Linked DNA regions of Drosophila melanogaster. The protein of the gene in region 1 interacts with the protein of each later gene in a pairwise test. Each region holds a gene or a part of one and is shown in the gene's direction. Other genes may lie near its edges.

Region 1 (3,328 bases):
TGTCGTCGTTCAGCAACAGCTCCATTCGTCGCTCCATTGGCCAACTGGGCGTGAATCCGTCCGAAACGATGGAGAAGGGCAAGGTCATACGCTCGACGTCCACACCACTGCACGTGGAGTCCGTGTTCGCCAAGCCCAAGGAGCCGATTACCTTCAATGCTTCCACTGGCGGCCACGTGTCCAGCATCTACCACGAGGAGCCCAGTCCGACACCCGAAAGCAATCCCGTCCAGCAGCAGCAGCAGCAGCAGCAGCCGTTGCAGCAGCGCGCCTGGAAAATGGGCGCCCGCAACAAGATGAGCGCCGCAACGCCGCTGCGCCAGGTCATGTCCAAGAGCATTCAGAAGGCCTTCGTCGAGCACGGCGGCATGATGGTCCACCAGCCACCATCCGCAGTGGTGCAACGTCGCGTGCGCCTCGATCTCAGCGAGCACAGTTCGCACGAGGCAGCAGGCTCGTCCGCTCTGGACCTGCGACTCTCGCCAGCTATGCGGCGCACCCAGAGCGAGTCCAGCGCCTCGGAGGTCAACAGCGGCAGCAGCTCCAGCTACAGCACCTCGCGGAATGCCGATCTATGCAAGCGGCAGTTCTTGCTGTCCGCACAGAAACTCACCACCGAGTCGATCATCATCACGCGGACGAACTCCAGCTCACAGAAGACCTCTTCCACGGTGTACAACTCATGCGAGAGCGTCGAGATCATACGCTCCACCTCGGAATCAGCGGAAGTGTGCCACGTGCCGGCCATAACGCCCATCCGTGTCACCGGTGCCGGCATCAACAAGAAGCAGATCAAGTTCGAGACGCCGCCCAAGAGCAGCCAACAGATGCGATCGAATGGCGAGGGCGATGAAACCAAGGACCAGTTTTTCACGCCGGAACCGGGAACGCCGGAAATTCCAGAGCGTCGTCATCGCCAGGCGATTGTGCCGCGCCAGCTGAGCGGCGAGTTTTCGCCCAAGAAGGATAAGCCGAAGGAGAAGGGGCTGGCGGTGATGGCCCTGATCTCGCCGCCATTGCAGCAACCCAGGGTGCGTCCTCCGTTGCGGGAATGCCGTCAGCAGAGGGTCTATAGCGGCGTGCAGGATGTGGGCGAGCCGGAGGTCGTGGACGCAGAAGAGGAGGACGAGGTGTTCCGCCCCACAAACGCCTCCACGTGCAACGACAAAAAGCTGGAGGCGCCCAACTCCGGTCGCCTGTGGTCGCTGATGAGTTCCATGATGCGACTGCCGGCCAGCTTGCGCGGCGAACGCGAAAAGGACAGGGACAGGGACAGGGATTCGGATAAGGAGAACGCTGGTTCGGGCTCACTCATCCGTCGCTGCGCCTCCATCGCTGGATCCCTGGTGCGCCCCAGTGCAAGGGACTCCTCCATGGAGGACCAGCAGTGCCTCAAGAGAAAGCGCACTCAGACGCTGGACAGCCAGTACTGTAGCCCGCTGTCGCCGTCCAGCTCCTCGAAGCGCTACCGCATCCGGCCCAGGGAGCCCATCGAGCGCATGCGTCGCCAGTAGGTTTTAAGCTTTTGCCTGCGAATCTGTGTTTTAATTGTGAAATTCTTCTTTTTTTTTATCGTTTAATAAATGTTTGGTCTTGCATTAACCGTTATGCGCAGCAGGAGTTGGCAGGTCCAGGAGCTTAGCTCGTCTCATTCAGAGCTGCCAACTCTATCTATTGATTCTGTTATTAATTAGTTGCGCACAAGATCGAAAAGCTTAACGGAGCGCCCATGGCGAAATCACAAGCAGGTCAGACTGTCGAGCCGGAGGCGTCCAAGCTGTGGATCCACTGCAACAGCTGCTGCGCCCTGTTCTGCGATAAGAAGCACACCTTCTTCCTGCTCGCCTGCCATCACGTGTTCTGCGAGCGGTGCGTCAAGGTCTCCGCCGGCCGCACGCCCAGCGACGCGCCCATATTCGAATGCTCCACCTGTCGGCGGAGCGTGCGCGGCCGCCAGTTGACCAACTCGATGCCCAACCACTTCAAGCAGCTCTTCCATCCGGAGCCCTTCACCATCGGCAACGACTTTGTGGAGACGTTCCAGCGCGGCAATCATCGGCACTTCGACAAGTACAAGGAGAGGAAGGAACTGGAGATGGATAAGCTGTTCAAGGACATCGAGGTGGCCAAGTCCGTGTGCCAGAAACGCTTCCTGGAGGCGCAGATGCTGCGCGTGGAGCGCAAGAAGCTGATGCAGAGGTCGCGCTACATTAAGGCGGAAGTCGCCAATCGGAAGGCGGAAATGCATCGGTGCGACATTTGGATTCCATTGAAAATAGTTCCCATTAATGCATTATATTTCTACCCGCCTTAGGATGGCCCAGGCCTACCGAAGCCGCTCGCTGACTTCGCAATCCTCGTCATCCGCCCAACGCTCGGCGCGCGGACGTCCTCGTGGCCGTGGAACAGCCACACAGTCCTCCAGTCGACGCCGATCAACGGAATCAGCAAAGCGGCAGCAAATCACCAGCTTCATACACCCGCCGAACAACTCGTTCGATCTGTGAGCTAGTGCTGATAGGTAAAGCTCTGTTTTACAACCGAGTATATATTTTTTGTAAATAATCAGCTTAAAACAATAAAATGGTGTCATAAGCTTTAAAATAATAAACTGCTAAGTTAACAGCGACCGTTAAGTTTCAATTAACAGTTTCGTTAGGATAACAGAAGTGTTGAAAGTGAATTCGATTAATCGAAATCCATCGATGACTGCTGCACCGATAATATCGCATAAGCATCTGCTCTAAAAACGCATAAAAATTGAATTGCAAGAAGTAGAAGAGCGAAACGTCATAAAAGCGGCAAATCCGGCGCTGTCCGACAAGAACCACAGGGGAAAGCGGATAAGGACATCATGATGAATAGCAAGATCGCCGAGGTAGTGGTGCTCAACTGCCGGACGTGCACGCGTGCCTGCAAGCTGCACAAGCCGCTGCAGGAGGAGATCGATCTGGGTTCGGAGGGCAGCACCACGCTGGCCAGCATGCTAAACTACTGCACGGGACTCTCGTTCGAGCCGCAAGACGGCGCCGCCATGCCGCAGCACATCTGCCTCCACTGCCTGCAGCTGCTGGAACAGGCGTTCAACTTCAAGCGCATGGTCATCGATTCGGACGAGCTGCTCCGCCTGGGCCTGGACGAGGCGCGCTGCTCCAGCTTTCACGAGAGTCAGACTCATAGCCCCAACCAGAGCCAGCAGCACGACCAGCAACAGCAGGCGTTCGACTCCACCGAGGAGTACGTCATGATCGAGATGCTCAACGAGGAGCAGGAGAACGTCGCCAATGTAAGTATCTATCACTTCACGGTGCAATGGAATGCAATGGTT
Region 2 (3,837 bases), on another chromosome or scaffold:
TAGTATCTCTTCGGGACTGTACTCGACGCCTGCTCCTGGTGGATATACCAACTGCTTGGCATAGTGGCACACGCGCGAGGGATCATCAGGCTCTTCAAGCGTTAGAGCCGGCTTCCATGTCTCATGGTTGTTGCGCCCGTAGGCGTGGAAATTGCGCGGCAAGCGTAGGCCAGCCACTTCATTTGTCACCGGAGGACTTTGTTGAGGAGGTGGATTGCCGTTGCCGTTTTGTTGCTGCTGCGGCTGCTGTGCGTGCAACTGCGGTACTGTAGTTTGTTGCGGCGGCAACTGTGACTGTTGGGCTGGTGCATAATGGGACTAAAACAAAAAAGGAGTATTTATCAAGTAGCTTTGATATTAAATTTAATGCTCACCTCTGCCACAGGAGCATAATGCGATTGTTGCTGGACTTGGGATGGTGGTATTGCTGTTGGGGACTGAGTTGCAGGATGTGGTTCATAGCGCGGCCGCTCCTGGTAGTGTGTCTGATAGGGGACCTGTTGTTCTGGCGGCAGTTGCTGTTGTGGCGCCGGCTGATGAGGCTGTGGGGCTTGATGTGCCTGCGCCTGCGGATGATATTGCTGATAGACATTCTGCTGATATGGCTGGGGACGGTGTTGATTATAGCTCTGTGGCATCTGCTGCTGTGCATAGTTCGTGAGTTGCTGCAGTGCATCCTGCGGGGGATGTTGCTGGTGCTGCTGTTGTTGCTGTTGTTGCTGCTGTTGCCGCTGGTAAAAAAGAGACCTGGCATAGGCGAACTTGGTGTGGGCGTGCTGCAGCTCGGAAGTGCTCTGCGCCTTCTCCTGGAAGGCCAAGTTAAACACCGCCTCCGCATCCTTATACTCCTCGCGAGACTCGTAATAGGCAGCCCATCCAATGTAGAAGGCGGCCACCTGGCGACCAGTTCCTCGCTGAAAAAGCACCTGGTAGAAATGGAGTGGATCCGTTTGCATGGCTATGTACTTCAGCCACAGCCGCACCAAACGGACATCCTGGCGATAGTAGTCATTGTGCTCATACACCGTCAGGCAGCGCTCCAGAGTTTCGCGGTACTTTAGCTCCGGATCGCTTTGCGCGTGATTCTCGTACCAGCAGATGTAGTTGTACCAATGATCGAGTGGATCAGGACCCTGGTACAGGGATATGGCGTGCTCCCAAGCCTGCTTGTCGTTCAGGAAGCCGTGCATCTCGTCCGGGCTGGCCAGCGGCGGTGCTCCAGCTGCGACTGCTCCTGCTCCTCCTCCGGAACCCGATCCCTGGCGCATGTACGAGTGCATGGCCATCTCGGCCGGACGCGGAATCCTCTGATCCCGCTGCGCCGTAATGCAAACAAATGAATGCGAGACTGTGGTTTCTACGGGTCACCACCAAAAAGTCTCGGATTGCGGAATGTAGTGCCCCTTGCCGATTGGACTGGTTAGGGTCCACTAACTCAGTTAATCCCTCGGCGTCTTCGGCTGTCACTGGTGGCACATACACATGATTTTCAGTTGGATTTTTCAACAGTTTGCAATGCTCAAAGATATTTTGTATTTTTTCTTGCTTTTCAGCTTGCAAATGGAATTTATTAGTGCTGCCAAACAATCGATAGAACCATTGGCTGTCACTGTTGACGATGGCTATGCACAAGGTTATCGATAGTGCGATAGAAACGTGTTGTTGGGAATTTTTAAACAAAAGCAATTTTTTGTACAACTTTACTTTTTATTTATTTATTTGTTGCCAAAGTTCAATTTTATTAATAAAACTATAGGGTTCTTTGTTTTAAATTATTGTAGTTTGAATGACGCACAATATATGTGTGTGTGCTATGAAGCACTTCCTATTTGATATACTTTTTGTATAATTATAATCTATTATTGGAAAACAACATGTTAATCGGATGATTTCAATTTATGTCAAGTTTTCTACTTTAATAAGGGGTCTGGTTGGAGCTGAAGCTTTCCAAGTAAAGTTAGCGATTTATTATATGGCATTACGTTCTCCCTTGTTATCTATTTATTTTGTAATATAAATATTCAAATCCTAAACGATAGTTGTATAACGATAGGAACAATGGTCCACGATAGTGCCACCTCCGATGCAAGTTTGCTTAATGCCCTCCAGAGCGCGCCACCGTGCTCGCTATTACTGCATTATTGTTTTTTATCAACTCGCTAGAAATTACGCTATTCCCAAAAAAACCGCAAACCCGCGAGTGTTTATGTTGCGTTCCGAAGTGCATATCATAGATTAGTAGTATTAGTAACCCCTCAAACAGCCTGCTGTCCAAAAAACACGCGTGATTCCCCCGCCACCCACGCACATAGACCCCGATATTTCACTTTTCTTGTTTTCGACCCCTGACTGCGTTTGTGGATTTTCCCCCCAAGAAAAAAAAAGCGAAGTGAAAACGCAATTGAGCAGCCGATCGATTGGAACGGCAGCAAACTGAATTCCCCGGGTTACGGATAATGGAGGTATCCGCCGATCCGTACGAGCAGAAGCTCTACCAAATGTTCCGCAGCTGCGAGACGCAGTGTGGACTTCTGGACGAGAAGTCCCTGCTGAAGCTCTGCTCACTGCTGGAGCTCCGGGATCAGGGATCCGCACTGATCGCCAGCCTGGGCGGCAGCCATCAGCTGGGCGTGTCCTTTGGCCAGTTCAAGGAGGCGCTACTCAACTTCCTGGGCTCCGAGTTCGATGGTAATACGTCATCGGGTTTCATTGGTGAGATAGCACAAAGAATCGATCACGCTATAGATTAACTTATATAGTATAAAGATAATATTTGCTATAAGCTAACGCGACAGGTTCGCATAAAACAACATACGTTTTATCTGTAATTGCGCTTTAATTACCCATCAAGCAACATCAGATAATTACGGAATGTTTGCCAGCCACTTATTAGAGATAGTAATTCAATTTTGACACGGATTTGGAACCGTGTGGGTTTCCCTATTAATAAAACACTGATCTAATGAACACATTTCTAGCAGTCTATAGATGAACAAAGCCATTACTTAATACTCAAAGAAGTGCTACCATCTACGTGCTAATTTGCAAGGATTATGCACATTTACTTCAAACCTCCGCTTATCTGATTTGGAAACTTCTGGGCAAATTTAGGACACCTTAGGGTACGAATATCATAATCAGCACGCGGATTAGCACGGCGGCAGCTGGCGATCATAAAATCATAGATGCAATTGACACTTTTTTACGACTCCCAACTGTTCTCGACTACCTGATCCTGCATGATCCTTATCAGGTAGATGGTTACAATGTCCTGTATAAATACGCGACACATTCACCTGGGCAGTTTAGTCTAAATCAAAATGGGAACACGATTGTATTACCGCCGATCCGGCGGTCAGTTAACAGATCCGATAATTGAGAAGCTAGCCGCTCGTTTTGGTAGCCACCTAAGATCCATACAACTCTTCCAGTTCTCTGCTAACTTATATCTATTGAATCTTCCAGAGCGTTCACTGGTGATTACGGATGAGCCGCTAAACAACACATACATCGAGAGTCCGCCGGAGTCTTCCGATCGCGAGGTTTCACCCAAACTCGTCGTGGGCACCAAGAAATACGGTCGCCGGTCTAGGCCACAGCAGGGAATCTACGAGTTATCCGTCACGGACTCGGACAATACGGACGAGGACCAGTTGCAGCAGCAGCAAAATCAGCGAAGCCTCAACGGATGCGATGAGCTGGGAGTTCAGGTGAGTGTCGTTTGTCAAGTCACGTACGAAGTGGCGATACAACTTCTGGTTATGTATGCAAAATTGCATAGTAAACAGATTTTGTTTAATCGTTATTATTGCTGATACAGTAGAGCATGCCTAAGTA
Region 3 (2,817 bases), on another chromosome or scaffold:
AAAGCTGAAAATCAGCGGAGATCTGGAAAAGGACGTGGAAAATGTTTTACCCCAAATTAAAAAGTTCGTTTCTAAGGGCATCAAAAGCTGCTGTGAAAACTTCACTAAATTAATAGAACATTATAAAAAGGATCTACATTTAAAAATCAAGAATCTGCCAAATAAATTAAATGAGACAGAATCTGAAAAATTAAATGAAAGTCACTCTATTCAAAAGAATCTAGGCTACATAGAAAAACAAGTTGAAGAAATAAGACCACTTTTTCAGAAGCTACAAAAATATTTTCGTGATAGTCAAGCAAATTCGAAATGTTGTGATGGCCTAAAAGAATCGTTTCAGTCATTGGAAAATAAATTATCGATAATCAAAAGCAATGGATATAACCAGTCTCTAAAGATAGAAAATCAGCTAAAAGAACTGAAAGATAAAATACAGGAAAATGTAGAAAAGACAAAAGACATAAAGACAACTTTAAGTCACCGCTTTGAAAATATTAAAAATATTCTTGGTATCTGCAATCAAAGCTACATACATCAAAATGTTCCAATGGATACAACTATTTTTCTTGACTTGGAAAAAAATGCAGAAACCTTAGAGAAACTCGCCGAAACGCTTTTCAAAAAGTTAGGCGTCTTGGACATTCATAAACCCTCAATAAATTTAAATGTAACCCTTAACACATGCCAGGAAAATAATGAAATGCTAACCAATATCCAATCTAAAATGGGGTATTTGCTTAAGCAAAATTCTAAAGATTGTTTTGAGGGATCGCCCACAGACTCCAAAAATTCTAAGTCTTTGATTATTAAAACTTGTTCATCTAACGAAAAGCTACAGAACAGTATTGCGGAGCTGGAAAAGGAAATAGGAATCTTGCGTAAAGAACTAAATAAATTCCCGAAATGCTGTAAAAAAATCGACGACCTTATCGTGCATATGGGAAAACTAGAAAATATGATTAATAAAATGAACCAAACTTACAATGATCATCTAAAAGCCAACTCAAATCAACTTAATTCTATAAAAGAGGGCATAGATAAGTCCTTAAGAAATTTGGGCCATAACCATGATGACGATGATAATAAAAAACTTCAGGAGCAGGCAAGAAAACTTAAAAAAGATCTTATAAAAGCTAGTTTGACCTTGAGCATTCTAAAAGAACGACAAGATGACTTATTGAAAGATAATAATAAAATTCAAACTTCACTATACTCTCCTGATGAGATGGATGGTTTAAAAAAGGAGCTATATGAGCTTAGACAGGACATTGAGGGAAAGTTAAAGGACTTAGCTTTAAAGAAGCAAAGCAAAATGGACGCTGTTAAACATCTCGATACATTCAATAAAGAAGTAATTCAGAATCTAGATAAAGCTAAAACAAGTACCCTTGAACACAAGGAACTAGATATGCGGATCAAGGATCAGACAGAGAATCAAATCAAGCAAACAAATGAAATGCTTCATTGTTCAAAAAAGTGTTTGAAAATTAACATGATGAACGATCTTATGGACCAAGTGGAAGACATGGAACGAATTGTAAAGATAAACAAATAGTGTTCTACATCTATTTCTGATCTATGATGTATAAGACGATATTGTTGAATAAAGCAATTCAAATAGCCAATTTTTTTTATTTTTTTTTTAAAATAATGTTTTAAAAATTATGTTGAATAAATTTAATTAATAAAAACTTACTACAAAAATGATTTTAAGATATCGGGCTTTCTGATTCTTTTGTCAGAGCTGTACTGAGTTAAATATAAATCATGCTACTACAAGCGGAATTTACAAAAATCGACGATGCCCTTGACATCTGTAGCTCCATGGAGGAGGATCTGAACGAGTGTCTGAATATCGTAGGGGCCATGATCGAGAAGTACAATGCTCCCGGACGCTACATCATATCCATGGATCCATTCGCTGAGGATTTTCAACTGAGCAATAGCGAGTCCACGGACTTGGATGGGTCGTCTATAGGAAGTTGTGACTCCGAGCTGGACATGCTAAGCCAACTCTACGGAGCCAGAAGTGCCCAGGAGTTGGATGAATCTTACGTCGATGTGCGCTATAAGTTTATCAAGCTGAAGCGGTTCTTCGAGGGTACCTTTACCCATTTTCTAAGGATCGTTGACTGTGCTGATCGTCAAAATAAGATTTCACATCGCATTTTTATGAACTCGCAGGATACCAAGGGGAAGCGGTGCAGGCACTAGGAATGCAAATTTCCTCCAACTATTCCATCAAACTTGCGCGCGTGTGTAAACTGCAAATTGTGTCGACACTTGGCAGGTTTTATTAAAAATTACTGTCACCATTAGTCGAGTTGCCCGATGACTTTCAGCGAAAAAAAGTGGTGCAGGGATGAACTTTCCAAAACTCATTTGGCCTGACATGAAAATGAGGCAAAGTTTTTTATCAGAGCCTCAGTTTTTCTTGCGACACAAGTTGCGCCTGACGTTAAGCACGACGACGATGATGACGTCGATGTTGGTGGGACAGTAACAAGTCAGCTGCATGTTTATGAGCACGACAATGGGTAAATACAAATACGGACATGCGAGAGAATATGTTGGGGGAAAACATGAGAAATTGCCAGCGCAAAACTTGAGATAATGTAATGCAAAAGTGGCCCAGGACCAGAGGAAACTTTTCCATAACGCTTTGCCAACTTGGCTCTGTGTTTGTACTTGGTAATATATTTGTGAGCATTATTTTATTTCGTATACCTGTTACTCGTGAACGGGTATATTAGACTCGCCATGTAGTAAATAATATGCAATATTCGTTAGTCCGCTCGCCAATACATTCATATAAAC

The links.
Region 2: the proteins of vilya (region 1) and Nin interact in a two-hybrid assay, tested with the Drosophila melanogaster proteins (one large-scale study listed by BioGRID).
Region 3: the proteins of vilya (region 1) and CG13474 interact in a two-hybrid assay, tested with the Drosophila melanogaster proteins (one large-scale study listed by BioGRID).

Annotation. Positions count from the first base shown.
Region 1 is NC_004354.4:2,724,978-2,728,305, forward strand, and holds vilya (vilya), read left to right. Parts: upstream 1-1,700; 5' UTR 1,701-1,729; coding exon 1,730-2,250; intron 2,251-2,314; coding exon 2,315-2,507; 3' UTR 2,508-2,591; downstream 2,592-3,328. Other genes in the region: fs(1)Ya (female sterile (1) young arrest), read left to right, coding at 1-1,514; dwg (deformed wings), read left to right, coding at 2,855-3,286. UniProt on the Drosophila melanogaster protein: Required for the formation of DNA double-strand breaks during meiosis together with narya and nenya.
Region 2 is NT_033779.5:5,276,809-5,280,645, reverse strand, and holds the start of Nin (ninein), read left to right. Parts: upstream 1-2,097; 5' UTR 2,098-2,456; coding exon 2,457-2,712; intron 2,713-3,304; exon of another isoform or gene 3,305-3,320; coding exon of another isoform or gene 3,321-3,399; intron 3,400-3,465; coding exon 3,466-3,710; intron 3,711-3,837. Other genes in the region: Bub1 kinase, read right to left, coding at 1-318, 375-1,286. UniProt on the Drosophila melanogaster protein: Required for the positioning and anchorage of the microtubule minus-ends in various cells.
Region 3 is NT_037436.4:14,696,051-14,698,867, reverse strand, and holds CG13474 (uncharacterized protein), read left to right. Parts: upstream 1-1,762; 5' UTR 1,763-1,767; coding exon 1,768-2,214; 3' UTR 2,215-2,317; downstream 2,318-2,817. Other genes in the region: CG17177 (uncharacterized protein), read left to right, coding at 1-1,555.